Linked DNA regions of Bombyx mori. The protein of the gene in region 1 purifies or fractionates together with the protein of each later gene. This does not show direct contact. Links are inferred from orthologs where the notes say so. Each region holds a gene or a part of one and is shown on either strand. Other genes may lie near its edges. The genes, in order: H/ACA ribonucleoprotein complex non-core subunit NAF1 and H/ACA ribonucleoprotein complex subunit 3.

Region 1 (10,117 bases):
TTAACGTTTAACTCAAATTTGTATGGAGTTGGAACGTTTGCCTACGTTTGCCGCTAGGGGCGCTGTTCCAACTGTAAACAAATCTGAGTTGACTTTTACGCGATCGAGAACGTTAAAAAACACGCACTAAGCACTCAGAAGCGAGGTGGGATGTTAGCTATGAACTTTAACTTGTCACGTTCACCGTAGCTCGGCCCCCTCCGATTCGAATACGAATAAAACGTGCAAGATCTGTCTAAAGGAGTACGAACTGCCGTCCGAACTGCTCCGGCACGTGCTGACCGACCACCGCAAGAGGCGGCTCAAGGAAACGTATCCCACGAGTTGTGAACATGTAAGTCATTTTTGTTTTAATGTCATACATACCTTCATCGTGACCTTCATCGTGGAAGTCATTCGTAAACAATTGTCGAGTAACGAGTTCGTATTTCATTGGTACTGGTCCGCGGTCTTCTCGAGTACACTATACGTCGGCTTTTTCAGTAGTAGTAGTTTTGTTTTTCCAAATACAAAGGCAATGATACCATACAGCCTAATCTTTTATATTATTTTTTATGAAAAATGATAATGTGGAGTGAAATGGAATGAAGTTGATTAATTTGAAACATTAATCAATTGGCATGAAATTAAATGAAATGAGATGAGATGACATGGGATAGGATGAAATATAATCTCAGTAAAATGGTGGTTATTTACTGAGACTTTTATTGATTTTTATTTTATTTACTGAGACTGGAGTATTCCGAGAAGTTACGTCCATCGGCTTTATTTCAATTCCCACAACTAATTCGCTAAATTCACAGATACTAAACAGTTAATAAACCACCATTATTACACATTTAAGCCTGAAGAAACACTAAATAGACAAAATAAAACAAACCACATAACTTCGCTCCTCGCTTTCCCGCCAAAAAAGCCTCCGCTTTCTCACTAAATATTTGGTTCGACTTTTACACATGCGGAACCAAGAGGAGATACACTAAACAGTGCGCGTTGAAGAACGAATCTTAAGACAGGTCATATAGTGTTAAATAGAAATGTTATATAGTATCAATATAACATTTCTTCAATAAAGTAATAACATAAAATATTTATGTACATATTTTAATCCACTTATAATGTAAAGATACTATTACAGTGCAACAAAATGGTAAGTAGCCGTCGGGAACATTGGTGGCACACGTATAAGGAACATCCGGAAGAGAAGGACTCGTATAGACGCGTCATCGCCGCCATCTGTGACGTCTGCGGTAAGGGATTCCAGGTATATTCGTACTCTTTGATGAATTTAATTTTTTTGAATTGAAATGAAATGAAAAGAATTTGGAACATTAATCAAATAGCATGAATTAAATTAGTCAATTCAATTGGCAAAATACTAGTCATTTACAATTTAGAAATCTAAACATAATGGGACTGTCAACACTGAGGTTTGAGATTGACATTTGACAGACTTTTGGCGGGAACATATCTTCCTTTTTCCCTTCCTCTAAGTCTCGGAAATCTAAAGTTTTAGATTTGTTTAAATATAAGCAAGACTTATAAATTAGTTCGCCAAAAAAGTTTCACTTCTGACATGTGTACTTTGTACGCACCCACTTTTTTTAAAAGATTTAGACGGTAATTAAGTTCATAATAAGTATTCAAATGTAGTCATTTACACCAGTTGTCCGAGACTACGAAAACTATAAAATATTCGCATCGTCGCAAATAATAAACGTGAGATTAAACCGTAAAAGCAATTTTAATTATATAAAAATAGATACTTAAATAGCATAGTGTTTCTGCTTCTATTAAAACCAAATAAAATAATTAATCGTAACTGATTATTCATTGGAATAGAATAAAACGAAGTTACGTATCCACGAGCTACGTCACGCGTCTCCGTCGGTGCGGTGCGACGAGTGCGGGCGCGCGTTTTACGACAAGTACGCACTGGCGCGGCACGCACACACGCACACGCGGGCGCGTCCGTTCGTGTGCACGCACTGCGGACAGACCTTCACGCTGCGCACCAACCTCAACCGCCACGCCAAGGTGCGTGTTGCTACTCCACTGTACCCTACTGTACTCTACTCACCCTAGCCCACCTACGACAAGTACGCACTGGCGCGGCACGCACACACGCACACGCGGGCGCGTCCGTTCGTGTGCACGCACTGCGGACAGACCTTCACGCTGCGCACCAACCTCAACCGCCACGCCAAGGTGCGTGTTGCTACTCCACTGTACCCTAATGTACTCTACTCACCCTAGCCCACCTACGACAAGTACGCACTGGCGCGGCACGCACACACGCACACGCGGGCGCGTCCGTTCGTGTGCACGCACTGCGGACAGACCTTCACGCTGCGCACCAACCTCAACCGCCACGCCAAGGTGCGTGTTGCTACTCCACTGTACCCTACTGTATTCTACTCACCCTAGCCCACCTACGACAAATACGCACTGGCGCAGCATTCCTATTCCTTATTCCAGCAACTGCAAACACGCCTATTTATGCCAGATCACCACATTCTTATTGCAGGTGCACTCGAATGTGGCAGCATACCAGTGTCCCATGTGCTGCAAGAAGTTCAAGTATTCGACCAGCAGAAACCTACACATCCGCACCGTACACTACAAGCTGCCTACTCCGCCTCGTAAGAAGCGGACCAAAACTTCAGACTAACTAAATAAACAAAGATCCATATTGCATGTATTTAAAATGTTAAGTAAACTATATAAAATAAACGATATTTAACGTAACTACAGTTCAATATAAAATACTGTATTGCATTTTTAAAAACTCCCTTGGTACTTTTATGTCAACGGTATTTCTCTGGCGCTTTGACCTTGCCATAACTAATTTGAAATCGATTTAATAGCGAATCCACTCTAAATTATAGAACATATATACAACAAAGTGGATTAAAAAATTGGATGATAAAAAATTGTAATCAGTTAAAGTAAAACTTAAAGTTTCAAATTTTATAAAAAAAAATTGAATTCGAAAAAATTTACTTGAATTGTGTAGATATGGGAAGCAACGAACCATTCTCACCACATGTACTTACTAGATTACTTACTGAAAAGATTCAACGTTCTGTAAAATTCATGTTATATGTAAGGTATTATAGAAAAAAAAAAAAAAAAAAAAATTTTAATGTGTGCGTAGGTTAATTTGCGCTAAATGCGTTATCAGAAAAATCAATCGCTGGAAAACATATAGAGATGAGGTAAAAACTCGTCCTAGTGCTCCATATCATATCCCAATATCAAGTCTATCCATATCCCAAATCAACAGTTTATTATTTTCGATCGGTTTTAATATTGAAAGAAATGATGAACTTGGTAACAACCTTAGACTAAATTGACTTTAAATCGGACTTCATTTATAAACCCCCGTCGAGTATTTCTCGTAGAACAAGACAACTGTATGTTTGGTTTTAGTCCTTTCAGTGACAGTGATTAATGTGTATATGAATACAACACTTGCCTTTTCATGAAAAACGTATAACTGTACACCTATAACCATTTTTAAAGGTTGATCAATGTCATACGTACGAAAATTTGTTGAGAACTTGGTGATCAAAGACGCTATTAAGCAAAAGTTGGCCATCTCTACTATGACTACCATAGATTATACACTTAATATTTGAGATGATGACTACATCTCTATTTTACACTGTCAATAAAATTGTCAATTGCCTCATTTTTTTGCGATCATATTGTCACGCTTTTTGATTGCATAGAAATATTGGATTTATTACATGTATTTTGTGTCTAAATAGAAGTGCGCGTATGTTCGTAATTTTCTTAATAATGCTAAACTAGTTCCTAATAAAGTATTTGACATACATCTATCATATCGTTAAGTTGTAAGCGTGCAGGAGTGCGAAGTGGAACAATGGAGAACCTCAACAAAAGCAGTAATAAAAACGTGTCATTAAGCTTAATAGCCGAATACGGAGGTTCGGACTCTGATTCTGACGATACAGAGACACGGTCAAACAATACGGGTAACGACTCGGACGCTCCTGAGTTGAGCGAAATGGTGTTAAAGAACAACATAATAAACGCGTGTGCTCACGGACCTCTGTCGAGAACAGATCCTTGCGATGAACAGGTGACCAGACACATGATAATAGACAGTTCAGAACGCGGTATAATGGAGTACGAAGTTACCGAATATAGAGACGCGGACAGTGATTCAAATACAAGCTCTTCCAGTGACTCCAGTGATAGTGAAGTGGATTCTGTGAAGGATGCTGATGCGTCTAGCGGGTAAATACGTTTAATAAGCCTTTTAAGTGTTTACTTTTAGTTTGCTGGTATTACATAAGACCAAAATATATCAAACTCTCATGAACAAAGATGGGAAAGTAAATTGTTATAAAAAAAAAACAGTATTTTTTTCAAGGCCAAGCATGAAATGATTTGTTTGAATATTCCAAAACTAAATAATGAGATTTTTTGAGAGATTCATTGCCATTTTTTTTATTTAAAAATAATATAATTACTCAAAATAGTCAAAACAGAGCTCTTTGTTATTATTTTTGCAACAATAAAGAAACATACCTTGTAACTTATATGATTTTAGAGATGAGTTTGAAGTTAGAAATAATAAGCCAGAAGCACCAAAAGTAAACGGTGAATTAGGACTGGATGACCTCCCACCCATCGAGGACCTTGCCATCAGCTTACCTGCCCAGGAATGCACCAAAATAGGAAAAATTGCCAGCATAGTTGATAGATTAGGTGAGTTTAATAACTTATAATTTAAAATCATTAAATCAAATGTTATATCATTTAGAATTCATTGTTTTATCACAATGAATAGTATCCACAATAATAATTTTTTGTGTATCAGTCCTATGAAGAATAAAATAAATAAATAGATTATATTGTAATTTGTCCCAAGATGGTAGATAACAAAATAGGCATTAATTTAATAAAAATGACTAAAAACAACATGGATTCAATGCTAACAGCTTAACTACAAGTACATTATATGATTGAAAAATAAAAGTAAAATGTAGTTGTGCATGGTCTAGTCAAGTATTTATAATATTTTGGAGCTTTTGAAGCTTGAAGGACATGGTTATATACCTAGGCTTTGAATGTATCATTAACCGTTTCGCTACTAATGGTGACTATTATGTACAATATATACTATGATACTGAAAAGTGATAGTGTAATGGTGCAAATATTTAATTAGCATTTACTGTTTACAGTGTTAGCAGTTACATTTTATAGTTTAGTCTTTTTTTTTTTATTATTTGTGTGGATGCTCATTCTGATGCTTCGGAAAACTTGGCAGTTTTTGGGATCGTGGATCAGATTTTGAGATCATTATTTGTCGGCATTTGAATATTGTGCTAGCTACAAAAATGCTACAATGACAATAAAAAACATGAGACTCAACAGTAAAGGTCCCTTTAAGTGTTTATTTTTCATAAATGTTCATTTTAGTGATTCACTACTGATTGTTGTAATAATTATTAATCAGTGAAGTTGAATATTAATAAATGCTATTAATCATTATTTTAATTATTATTTTCTTAACACTATCTAATTATTGGAATTAATTACAAATGAGGAATTTATTTTAACAATGAGTGAGTAGTGAAGATGGAGTGTTTCCTCACTATAAATTAACTTAAAAAAAGCAACAATAATAATAATATACACATTTTTATAATTCTTGCAAAATGAAAACGCATTTATAAAGATATAAAATGTTTCTACTCATATCATGGCATCTAAGAGTTTCATTAATACTTATTAAACTACTCCCAGACAGGGTGTGCAAAAGAAAAAACAATATTATAAAATTGTTTGTTGTATCAGTTATAGTTCAAGCATTTCCGGAGACACCTGCAGTGGACATAGAGAGCGTACTTTTTGTGGAAAACGGAGCAAAGGCACTTGGCAAAGTTTTTGATGTATTTGGACCTGTGAGTATCCATACTTAATATTATTACTTAATACAAATGTGAGGGGGTGTTTTTTGTCTATCTTTCATTTCGTAATGAAGCAACACACCGATATATAATTCAAAGTGATAATATTAGAGATAGATAGAATAAAGTGACATAGCCTACCTTTTAACCCAACAAAATATCTCATTCCCCTGAGAAACTATACTTGCTCCTTAAGCATGCAGACGACGGTGAGGGTAGCACCTAGTTTTTTTAGTTACTATGTTAGTTAGTTTTTATTTTTAATTACTATGTTGTATAAAGTATGAAATTTGATTTTAGGTCTAGTAACCCCATAATTTTAAAACACATATGAGGCTTTTCTGTAGTTTAAATCTATGTAAAATAGAATAAATGTAGTGTCCAGTGCAAACTTCATAGGTATAATAAACATAATTGTAATGAAAATTTTATTAAATGTTTATTTGGCATACAATTAAGGTTATATCTTCTAAATTATATCTGCAATACACTATTTGGCCATAATCCAAAAATACTTCAGTGACCCTATGTATATTTCACATCCAATATCATTTGGCTCTGAAAACGCATTAAAATGTTATTAAAAAGGAATTAATACATAGCTTATGGAAATTTGTCTACATTTTTATTATTTGGAATAATACAGTGGTGAAAGATTTGAACTGTCCTATTTTTTTTTTGTTTATGGTAAATATATATATACTGTTATATAAATGTGACTGGCGGCTTACTAATTTAAATATCCTATACCGTATTCTTTGCCTGTGTGATTATATCAATGTTTTAAAATTACTGGTGGTAGGACCTCTTGGGAGTCCGCGCGGGTAGGTACCACCACCCTGCCTATTTCTGCCATGAAGCAGTAATGCTTTTCTGTTTGAAGGGTGGGGCAGCCGTTGTAACTATACTGAGACCTTAGAACTTATATCTCAAGGCGGGTGGCGCATTTACGTGGTAGATGTCTATCTGTGGATTCCAGTAACCACTTAACACCAGGTGGGCTGTGAGCTCGTCCACCTATCTAAGCAAAAAAAAATATGTTTAGTATGTTTTTTTTTTTGTTAATTTTCAGATAACGGAGCCGCACTATTGCGTCCGGTTCAACTCACTCGATCACGTCAAAGAACGAGGCGTACAAACCGGGATGGAAGTATTCATCGCGCCAAAAAGCCAACACACTAATTACGTATTTATATCAGAACTGATGAAGTGAGTTTGTATTTGAAACTTGTTTGCAGGGTTTTTTATTTATTAATTATCGTCAAACCAACTACGAAACCAAATTAACTGTTACCTTAAAAGAACATAACACATTAATTAGTTTTCATAAATAGTGTATTTCTGACACACAGTAAAGTCAACTAGCATAAGGCCCTCCCGTTGTCTCGACACCACAGATCCCCGGGTCCGTTGAACTTTCATTAGTGCTACTTTGCCATTTTTAGTGCCATCATAACATTAGGTTTTTTTTTATTCCTACTTAAGCTGATAGCCTTGAGAGGCTATATCAGCGTAGCCTTAGCTAGTAGGTGAGCTCACGGGGCTCAAACCTGACGACGTTGCTAACACGAACCCTAGCAATAGCCGTGCTTCGCAGAATCTACCACCGGATCGGAAACGCGATCGATCCACTGAAAAGATCCGGCGAGAAACTCAGTGGGCTGTGTCTGAGGGTTAATTTACTCGTCGAGCCCTTCGTCGCAAGCGACGGGTTCGACGAGAACGATGACCGCTGCTTGTGGTACCGAAAGCACCGTTAGTGGATCGGGAGGATCCGAAATGACGTGTTTGGGGCGACGTCGACTGCTTTCCATTATGTCCGCAGGATCGGGAATGTAGTTACCGGCTTTATCGAAGTGTAACATTAGTAATCGGAGATCATTATATCAAATTTATTTTTCTTTCTTCTTCCTTCCAGAGTGAGAGGCTGTGACGCTTCTTGGCTGAACGACATCGAGCCGCCGCCTAGTCACATCGACTACTCCGACGACGAAGAGGAGCGCAGGGCGGCGCGGGCTCGCAAGACGAAAAACAAAGAAGACGAGAACACTCAGAACGACGGAGAAACGTCCCGGAACGTTCGGAAACCGGTCGAGAGACGGAACCAGAGGCCTTCGGAGTGGAATAGCAGATTCGGTAGCGGGCCGAGCAGAGGTCGCAATCCTTTCGCGCTCGGGTCCAGGCGCCACGGCAGACCTCCCCCTCTCTCTGCAGACGGATCGGCTTTCATCCCTCCCTTCAACCCGAACACCCCGCCCCCCTATAACCCGGCAGCGCCCCCTCCGTTCTCAAGCCTGTTCCAGTTCGGAAGCTCTCCGCGCCTGCACAGTCCCTTCCGCACCAACGCTCCGGTGTTCATGTCCACCCCGGGTCCGCACTGGCTCACCCGCCCCCCTCCCCCACCCGGAACTTAATGCGGCCGCGTACAACGATTTAGGTTTTAATCTCTGTAATTATCAATACACAATTTGGGTAACCTTGACCTCTTCGTGAGAGAGGTTGTTCCAGAGAAATTTGAAAACGCTTTCCAGTAGGAATATTCTGTTGGATAAATAAATGCGCGTACTGTATATCCGAGGTCGAGCGGCCAACGTTCCCTGCGAGGTCAAAGTTACACATGTTGATTACAATTAGTTTACTACGGTTATCGCAGTTATTGTTTAACAATACTGAACGTGTGGTTATCCAAAAATTATATTTATACTATAATAAATATGATACCTCATTCAGCCATCGGTTTTATTTGCTTTTATTCTGTTAAAAATTAAGTCGATCCTTGGAAGAGTTTTCAAACGCTTGGGCGTACAAAACGATGCAAAAATATGTTAAAACTTTTTAAGACAGTTAATAGGATTAGTGGACTATTAGTGATCTGTGTTGAAATTGCAGTTTTAACTAAATAGCATAATTAAGGTAAAGTAACGCAAACTCTCAAAATATACACTGGTACACAGTAAGAAAACCGAAAACCGAAAACTGAATACTGTGGCAGGTATATCTTTAGCAAGTGAAGGATACCACAGATCGCTCTTGAGCCTAGTTTAGGGCAATCCTAAACTTGACACTTTATATATCATTGTTTTCAGTATGGCAACACAAGTCGTTGCAGTTGCACAAAAAATTCTGGTCGTAATTGCACGGTTCTTTATTCTATGTATACAATACCGTCTTTACCATAAGGGTACACGTGGCCCTTATCCAGAGCCCTCATTCTCAGGGGGCCCCGAAAGACCGACAATTTCTCTCACACGTTTATTCTCAAAACATTTTTGTCGGGCACATTACACTTTTTTCATAAATCAGTAATCACAAGGCATATACTATGCCTATAATACAAGATTTTGCTCAGCAGAAATCCCGAAAGAAACCGTTATCGAAATCGTAACCAAAAAACCAGCAGCATTCTAATATCATTAATGACATATTATATTCTATTTGATTACCTATAATAAATGGTCATACTCAGTAAAAAAATGTTATTATAATTCGCTTTTTTTACTTTCCAAAAGGGCCTCAAATTCTTGTGTGCCCAAGGGCCCCATCCTAGTTTAAGACGTCCCGGTATGTACATTAAGAGAATTAAAAATCCTTCGCTCTGAATCAAGTTTTTATTGAAGCTAGCACTAAATACAGTCCACGCTCGAAATTAATACCAGCTACCTACTTCTATTGGATTCTACTGGACTGTTGATAGTCCCCTTCTCAATCGTTCGGGTACTTCAGTTCTCGTATGTTCTATGGAAAGTGCTCTGAGGAATTGTTTGAGATGATATAATATCTTCCTTGTTTTATCGCTCCCGCCGCCAGAGATGGGTTCATCAATACCAGTTCGAACCGCTGCGTTGATCTACAAGAAGTTTCCAGAGATAGTATTTGCCATGCTCCATCTGGCTTTTGGAATGATGGTGTTTCTCTAGGGCTTGGCCAGGAGGAGAGTTCTCAAGGGCTTTACTGTATTCTTGTTATTGCTGATGTTCATGAGCTACGATGACCACTGACCGAAAATTACCTAATTTAGTTATTAGATTAAAATTTAAATATTATTCCTAAGATATTTTGCAATCTCACCTTGATATTGTCATATGTGTAAGTAAACAATAATTAATGTGTTCAGAAAAATAAAAAAATAAAAACTTACTTTTGTGATTTTCTTTATTAAATATTTCATTGT
Region 2 (9,411 bases), on another chromosome or scaffold:
GTTTACCATCCAAATTCGATTGTCGGGCAGATAGAAAACGAAAATTCACTCATAGTGAACCTCGGCCTGCATTTGTGAAACGGCAAAGACTCACTATTATCAAGGAAATTGAAGAGACGACTAAAAATGAGATGTGTCGTATTATTATACCTTTGCCATCTTGTAGTCAAGGTAGGTGTAACTGTCAATAATTAGTTACACTCACAGATCTCCTAATCAAATAACAATATCAGAAAAAATGAGAATAGTTAGTTAGTTAGTGGAAGTAGCCAAAATGGGCAAGTGGATCTCAGTTCCTATTACATAAGGTACTAGGAAGTTTGTGAAAATGAAAATTTATCACAGTGTAATATCACTTACTTACTTTAACAGTGAAGGAAAACATTGTGATGAAACCTGCATACCTAAATGTTCTTAGGATTTTCTTAGGTGTGTAATCCACCAACCAGCACTAGGCCAGCGTGGTGGACTAAGGCCTAAAAACCCTCTCAATGGTAGTGAAGGCCAGTGTCCAGCAAGGGGATATATTATATGGGCTGATGATGATGAAGTTAGGAAGTTAAATACTACTACTACTACTACGACAGTACACATATAATCCTATATATTTACAAACTATACGTTTGTTGGAAATTGCTAACATTATTTCATATTTCCAGATGTCCAGCCACTTGAAAATAGGTGTAGTAATGACAAAGCTATCCAAGTAGCTCCAGCACAGTAACACAAAGGCAAGGCAAGTGTGTATTGCCACATCACCCCTTAATATATCTGAAGCAAGTATAAGTAAACAATCAGAACCAGCAAAAAAAAAACTGTTGTTCCTGAGGACAAATTTGACAGTGACGAGTCAAATGCACCAGCAACAGAAGGATCAACTGTTGACTATGGGTTATAGAAGAAGAAGATGAATTCATATTTATTTAAATTAATATTAATGAATATTAATTTAAATTATCGTGCAAAATTCGTGGTCAAAACATATGTGTATTTTATAAATAAATATTCATTCTCAGCAAAAGAAGGATCAACTGTTGACTATGAGTTATCTCTCTATATCTCCACTCCATCAAAGACTTGTGCACTTCAGACTATAGCTCTCAAGAAGACTAAAAAGTTGAAAAAATGAATGTGTTAACAACTTTATCTAAAGTGAAAAATAAACAACGTTTATATATTGGTCTTCCACAAGAATTATGTTTCATAATAGGCTTGATTGAGAAACATACAAATGTTTCTGAACAAAATATTATATTATGTCTGATGAGAATAACATTAAATAGAACATTCTCTCAATTGGCTGATGATTTCGATTTATCTGTAAGTCAAGCAAGCAATATATATATATATAATATATTTTTCAACAAACTCCCAGAAATTGCAAATGTAATATCACCCCTTGTTAGACTATAAAAAAAACAATACAATAATTATATATGCAGGAAGGATAATTGATGTCAACTTGGTGGAAAATAGAAAGTTTTTAGATAGTTTGCCACCTACAAAACTCTTTAATTAAATAATAAAGTAATCCTTACTTATAAATAGGAAGTTTTGTAAGTATTTTCACTCTTCATTCAAAAACTACTGAACAGATTTTAATAAGACTTTTATGCTGGTCTTCTATGGCTAGCAACTCATTATTATTTTGATTCTGTTTTCCACAAATGTGCTAAATATGGGCTTATATATATGAAAAGGAATAAAAATTAATGTTATGTAACCTTTGTACCTGTATGTTAAGAATAATTTTTAATAAAACATAATTTAAATTGAAATATTATTTTTATTAAATGACATTCACTTTGTACACATCAATATTTTGTACTCCCTAAAAGGAAAATAGGTATAAAGTTTTTTTTAAATATTTAACATTACATTTTTGTGTAAGATTAGAAAATTGTTATTCTTCCAAAAAGAAACTACATTATCTAACAACTGTGCAACTTACTCAGAATCAAAATCAATACCTACTAATTATAGTGACCTGATTAGTTTTTTCAAAGTTGCTGGATGCTACACAAAAGTAGCAAGTTTTACTTTTAGCACAATACATATGCATTTGAACTTGTGCATAATATCTTTCTTTAATTTTTTTTTGCCTTTTTATTTATGGAAACATAGCATTACTCACTTGCTTGTTTGTAGATCTATCAAAAAAACATAATTTATGTTTTTTTTTTAACACAGTGGGCAATACCCTATTATTCATATTAATTATATACGGCGGGGCGATGCGAAAATTCATTACTGAATTATTTAAGAATGATAGGCATAATATAATATTTTAATTCGCGATCTGTTTATTTTTAATTTTGTGATTTATGGGGTGGTCACAGTCATTATTATAAAAATAGACATTTTGAGGAAATATAAATGTTTAATACAAATTATTTTGATAATCGAAATAAATTCATATCAATCCAAATTCATATTTGAACTATGAAAATTGTATGGTATGTAAACAGAAATATATTTTATAATTATAATGACTATTTATTCCATGCAGTATCGGTTACAGAAGCTTGCACAGCTTCTCTAACCGACACTGCAACTAGAATAAAGTCTAATAAAGAATAAGAATAAACTTTTCTTCGAAGCTCAATTCTACAAGGGTATTCAATCAGATAGCTATCTATCTGTCGTTCCTGTATGAAACTTTGGTATGTCGAAATCTTGGATAAATCCAGCAAAGCTAAATAAAGTATTTACCTAAAAAATATGTTTATGCTTAAAGTCACGTGTTTATGTTATTCGAAAGTATTAAGCTCCAAGCAGCATTTAGCTCCAACTAAATTCATTAAGAACCAATTTTTCAATCGATGATTAAAACAACATTAATACTGAGAATGAATATTTATTTATAAAATACACATATGTTTTGACCACGAATTTTGCACGATAATTTAAATTAATATTCATTAATATTAATTTAAATAAATATGAATTCATCTTCTTCTTCTATAACCCATAGTCAACAGTTGATCCTTCTGTTGCTGGTGCATTTGACTCATCACTGTCAAATTTGTCCTCAGGAACAACAGTTTTTTTTTTTGCTGGTTCTGATTGTTTACTTATACTTGCTTCAGATATATTAAGGGGTGATGTGGCAATACACACTTGCCTTGCCTTTGTGTTCCTGTGCTGGAGCTACTTGGATAGCTTTGTCATTACTACACCTATTTTCAAGTGGCTGGACATCTGGAAATATGAAATAATGTTAGCAATTTCCAACAAACGTATAGTTTGTAAATATATAGGATTATATGTGTACTGTCGTAGTAGTAGTAGTAGTATTTAACTTCCTAGTCATCATCATCAGCCCATATAATATATCCCCTTGCTGGACACTGGCCTTCACTACCATTGAGAGGGTTTTTAGGCCTTAGTCCACCACGCTGGCCTAGTGCTGGTTGGTGGATTACACACCTAAGAAAATCCTAAGAACATTTAGGTGTGCAGGTTTCATCACAATGTTTTCCTTCACTGTTAAAGTAAGTAAGTGATATTACACTGTGATAAATTTTCATTTTCACAAACTTCCTAGTACCTTATGTAATAGGAACTGAGATCCACTTGCCCATTTTGGCTACTTCCACTAACTAACTAACTATTCTCATTTTTTCTGATATTGTTATTTGATTAGGAGATCTGTGAGTGTAACTAATTATTGACAGTTACACCTACCTTGACTACAAGATGGCAAAGGTATAATAATACGACACATCTCATTTTTAGTCGTCTCTTCAATTTCCTTGATAATAGTGAGTCTTTGCCGTTTCACAAATGCAGGCCGAGGTTCACTATGAGTGAATTTTCGTTTTCTATCTGCCCGACAATCGAATTTGGATGGTAAACAGTTTGGTTTCATTCGAATTCATTTAATGGAGCTCATTATCTTGTATTGCATATAATTCTCCATGTAGTTTTCCAGCTAAAACATGAAATAATTTTCCAACAATTTCAATACATAACCTATAAAAAAAATATTAAAATGTTATATTACTAATGTTAGGAATATAATTTCGACTGTGTCAAAATGTTATTATAATGTATACCTACATTATCTCTTGAAAGATAAATAATAAACATATTTACTTATTTGTTTATATTACCTATGTGAACTCTTAACCTATCTTTTTTATATCTTCATAGCGATAGGTATATAGGAGGATGGAAAAAATGTATTTGGTCTAACTTTACGCGAATGCACATTATTTTATTTATTTATTTTTTAATTTTTTTAATTAAACTGTATACCAATTAATCGATCCTTCAGGATTTATAATTGTTTTTTTTTTCACGATTAAAACCGCGTAGAAAGTTTAGGCATTATAGTTGACGCATGCGCCATAGATTATACACTTATGGCATGCGCAGTACACATATTTTGTATACATTTATTCAACTAATACAATTAATTAAACAAAAAATGAGTAATTTCGAAAGAGAACAAACGTATTTTATATAAGAACAATCGAAAATGAATATTTACGAGTAATTAAGGACGAAAAAATTTTAAAAATTGCAATCGAGGGGCTAACTTTTAGATATATTTTTAATATATTTTTTAAAATAAATAAATGGGGAACAAACAATTATTAACAATGAACAATCAAGAACAAATGATGAACAAACGAATTAATAGAAAATAAGTAGAAAACAGGAAAAAAAATTTTTTTTGAGGGGCTAACTTCATTCACCCTGATTTTATGGTAAATTATGGTCAATTGTCCTACTCTGTGGTTTAAACATAGATTATACATTTGTCATTTATATAAACTCAAAGACACAAAAACATAGATTCCACCGGTCACCGTTCTCGTCGAACCCGTCGCTTGCGACGAAGGGCTCGACGAGTAAATTAACTCTCAGACACAGCCCACTGAGTTTCTCGCCGGATCTTCTCAGTGGGTCGCGTTTCCGATCCGGTGGTAGATTCTGCGAAGCACGACTCTTGCTAGGGTTCGTGTTAGCAACATCGTCAGGTTTGAGCCCCGTGAGCTCACCTACTAAAGTTAAGGCTACGCTGAAATAGCCGCTAGGGCTATCAGCTTAGGTAGGGAAAAAAAAAAAAAAAAAAAACATAGATTATACACTTAATATATTTGAGACACAAAAACACTGAACAGTAAACACGAGGAATTACTGGATTACCACATACAAATAAAATAGCGCTAAATTAGTTGTAGTTTTTGTTATTTGCATTTTTAATAACATTAAAATGTATCTCAGGTATTACTTAAACGATAAAGGCGATAGAGAGTACACATTAGCGGTAAGTATTGTACTGTAACCTCGTCAACATGTGTTTAATTATTCTATCAATAATCTTTTTACTTTCTCAGACCATCGACCCATTTGGAAAACCAACATTGTCAGCACATCCAGGTAAATAACATCATCAAGTATGGTTTATTAGTGATTAATCGTTGTTTTCAAAAGTTAGAAGGTTATGTATGTTTTCCTAATAGGTAATGCATAACAGTGTTTTATAGTGGAAATAAGCTGTAAATGCTTGAGATATATTTAATCTAGTTAATATAGAAGACTAAGACAATAATATGGTTTATGAACTAAAAACAATTTGCTTCAATTATCTTTTATCCTGTACTGGTATTTATTAGGCCAAAGTAATAAAATTATTGACTGCTTTTAATATAATGTCATTTTTGTCAACCATCGAAACTGATTGTTTACGTTGGATAACAACCACCTTGACAAGCCTTGAAAGGTTTTCGGCCAAAAATCATCCTCTTATCCTAAAAAATCATGTTAGACGTTATCCCTGAATCTCACAATCTTATCATGTATTAATTATTGAAGATGGTGAAAATTACAATTGGAGATTCCATCTGATATATGCTAATGAAATCAAATTTAAAAAAAAGCAAAAAACAATCTCACATCTACAAAATAACAGGCTAATTTACTTCAATAATCCAATTGTTTTTATTGCAGCTCGTTTTTCTCCTGAAGACAAATACTCAAGACACAGAATAATAATCAAGAAGAGATTTGGCCTGCTGCTTACACAACAACCTGAACCTATTCATTAAAATAAATATTGATTTGTATTGAAAATTACCAAAATGGTCTAAATTTTGATACATTTTAACAATTCTTTTCAAAATCTAAGGCACACAGGATTTAGCATACAACAGAACACAAATGGTCTTACAAAATATATTACTTTATTATGACTTGCTCTTCCTTTTTCTAATGATTTTCATCTGATTGTGGTAATCCTAGGCTACCCCACTGGTACATAGGGCCCTTACAAGTTTTCTCCATTTGACCTTGCTCCTTGACATCATTCCAAGTCATGGTGGCAGTACTCATCTCACTCTCCACAGTGTGTCGAGAAGTATGTAAAGGATAACCAGGCTATAAATTTAATATAATTTATTTTTTATTACAATATCTCTTCTTATGATTATGTAAAATGAATGCAGTTTCAAAATATATGTTGTAATATAGTCGTAATGTTATGTGTGCTTTTATTATTTATAGCTACTATAAAGCAAGTCTTGATAGTTCCGTATATACACCAATTTCCTTCATGGACAATCGAGCCATGACTGATAAATGGGCTCTAACCTGGAGAGTATTAGCATGTGTTACAGTATCTGCCTCAGATAAAAATGGCCATGGCTGTGCCAGGAAATTTTATACAGTGAATATACTCAATCTGAAAAAATATATCTTGGTTACTAAAAAGTGATTATGTAGGCAGTATTTCTGAAGTTTATCTCTAGCTAAACATCCAGTAAACCATCTGCTAAATATGTTCACAAGAACACAGCAATGTGCCACAACTCCCTTTAGTATTTGGACAAGTTGAATAAAGTGTAGTGTCTAATAATGGCATTACAATTAATTTTAGTAGATTTCCTTGATGATAGAGTTTGACTTCTGAGGCTATCCACGGATTTAGTTACCCTTTGATGTGTGCATTTTTTATATGATTGAAGGATTACTGGTGCCCTGTAGGCCTTTCCAGTTTCACCAGGGCAGGGCATATGAGAACTGCTAGTCAGTCAGACCTTCAAAGAGATACCTAATAATCAGATGACATAACATCTGGAGTATATGGCGGGTAGGGTATGGCATCTCATCTGAATGTTTTCAAGTATTTTAACGGTTTTCGCAAGGTATGCCCGAGCATCATTGTCTTGCAAGAGAATCACTTTATCGTGCCTCGGGTCGTATTGTGTAGACATGTGTAAGTAATGCGAGTGATATTACTCGGGTAATATTACTCTACGATGTAATGCAACATCACACATTACGCGAAGGAAACAAACATCACACTATCACCCAACATGTTTCTTTCTTTGTCGTGTAATGTTGCTTAATACATGAACGGAACAGAGCGAGCGAGACAGACCGATAGACGCAAAATAAATGAGCAAGCGACACGGAATTATTCCTAGTGATTTTGAACCGTATGTCCTGGCCGCTAGGTACATTTTTATACCTATGGTACGTCTGAATTTTAATATAGGTATTTGTGTTTATATTTTTCATGCGCCCAGCCGGTAGTTCCCCGCAAGTACTTACTTAATTTTTTATTCGCAACTTTTGTAAAATCGCTAGTCGCTCGTAATTGTTTAGTAATATTTCATAATAATTTTTGTGTTTGATTTGAATTACTTAAGCACTTGTTTGAAGATAGTTTAATTATTTGTTTTAATGCGTGTTTAATAAGTGAAAGAAAGAATGGCGTCTAAATGAAAGTACAGTCCTCCTTGGATGCACTTTGAGGATATCGCGCCGAAACAATGCATCTACTGCTCTCGTATATTAACATTATTGTCGAGCTCAATTTGCAGTCTAAGTCGCCATATGAAATCCGTTCATCCCACAATAAATTATATTAAGTAAAAAATAAAATTATTATATTATTAAGTAAGTCAATCTCTGTCAAGTAATATAACAGTGTATTACAATGCAAAGTTCATACTTTGTATTGTAATACACTACTGTAATGACACACCCGAATCATTACCTAAGTGATGTGTATCAACACATCACTTAGGTAATGATTCGGGTGTATAGATACAATGCATTCGTCGTCACAGTATCTATTGAACGCACCGAGTAATGTTAAGAGTGATGTGTAATATTTTCGAGTAATATCACCTGTCTGTAAAAGTGATGTCATATCACATTACATTGGGAAGTGATGTTTTGCGCAAGTCTAGTATTGTGGCCGTTTTTATAATGTTTCAGATCAAAATCGATGAACCATCTATTGACAATCAGAGAGAACTTAGTTGCGTTTCTAACATGGGTAGTCTATTTTGTGTTCACGAAATCGATTATATTAATATATGATACGATTGTGAGATTCAGGTCTAACATGTTTTTTGCGTCTAAACTATACACGCGAGCAAAAGTTTGGAATCACTTACTTGAAATTGGTTCCGTGCGATCTTGCTTACTAAATAAATTTGTAATTATTATAAAAGTCACATCATTTTAAAGGTTCAACTGTCAACTTTAAATTGATACCAAATTCATTCAAATCGAGCCAGTAGTTAAGGAGCTATTTCGGATTAAGTGAAGGAGGTAGGAAACAAAGGAAATATGGAAAAATAATGAATGAGTAGAACAACAAAAATAAATAAATAAAATTTTTATTTAGCCTTAAAATTAAATGTCAGTACTTTGTGTAAGGTTTATGATTATTTATATTAATATGATTATATAGAGTGTAAGGTTTCTGATTATTTATATGATTATATAGAGTCCTGTACATATTAAGAATTATTATTAAATATGAGGTTTATATTGCAAACCATTAAAATATTGTTAAGTTATAAATTCAACAGTTGACAAATGTCGTCAATAGATGTCACAGGCTAACAAAATTACATCGCGGTAGCGTTGTGTGTAAAAATTTGTATAAGAAGTCCAAAGTAATTATGAATAAATCAAGAACCAAACGCATCAATGTAAAATTGGCAGATTAAAGCAAAGTGTGAACAAAGTTAGCCTGTTTAATTTATATGTCTGACACCCAAAAGGTCAGAAGCGGGATAAATAAGGCTCTAGAAAACTAACCTTACTACGCCCACGGATCGGTAAAACGTAAGTTATTATTAATTATTTACATCTGATTCAGTGATATTGAAAATTCTGATGGTTGTGATTTTTTTTTTTTTTATATGAATTTTCTTTGTCTTGTTCCTCTTCATAATACAAACCCGCACTGAGTCATTTTTTATTATTGCCTTGTAACCGATCAGTGCAAGCGCACTGAACAATCGACCACGTAATGATCACATGTGCGTTGGGTTGAATAAACCAATGACGAAGAACCAATGAAGAAATCAATGACGATTATAACTTTGACTTAATATAAGTAATTAAACTTAAAACAACAAATTCATTCTACCCACCTGC

The links.
Region 2: the proteins of H/ACA ribonucleoprotein complex non-core subunit NAF1 (region 1) and H/ACA ribonucleoprotein complex subunit 3 purify together in Homo sapiens (co-immunoprecipitation; 6 studies listed by BioGRID and IntAct, with this or other methods). This does not show direct contact. The link is inferred for Bombyx mori from reciprocal best matches to the Homo sapiens genes NAF1 and NOP10.

What each region holds. Positions count from the first base shown.
Region 1 is NC_085109.1:2,566,106-2,576,222, forward strand, and holds H/ACA ribonucleoprotein complex non-core subunit NAF1, read left to right. Parts: upstream 1-3,624; 5' UTR 3,625-3,889; coding exon 3,890-4,266; intron 4,267-4,582; coding exon 4,583-4,740; intron 4,741-5,833; coding exon 5,834-5,940; intron 5,941-7,018; coding exon 7,019-7,155; intron 7,156-7,864; coding exon 7,865-8,360; 3' UTR 8,361-8,675; downstream 8,676-10,117. Other genes in the region: oocyte zinc finger protein XlCOF6, read left to right, coding at 190-334, 1,139-1,264, 1,843-2,037, 2,086-2,208, 2,528-2,671. UniProt on the Homo sapiens protein: RNA-binding protein required for the maturation of box H/ACA snoRNPs complex and ribosome biogenesis.
Region 2 is NC_085131.1:8,619,474-8,628,884, forward strand, and holds H/ACA ribonucleoprotein complex subunit 3, read left to right. Parts: upstream 1-5,091; 5' UTR 5,092-5,224; coding exon 5,225-5,278; intron 5,279-5,348; coding exon 5,349-5,391; intron 5,392-5,961; coding exon 5,962-6,059; 3' UTR 6,060-6,491; downstream 6,492-9,411. UniProt on the Homo sapiens protein: Required for ribosome biogenesis and telomere maintenance. Part of the H/ACA small nucleolar ribonucleoprotein (H/ACA snoRNP) complex, which catalyzes pseudouridylation of rRNA.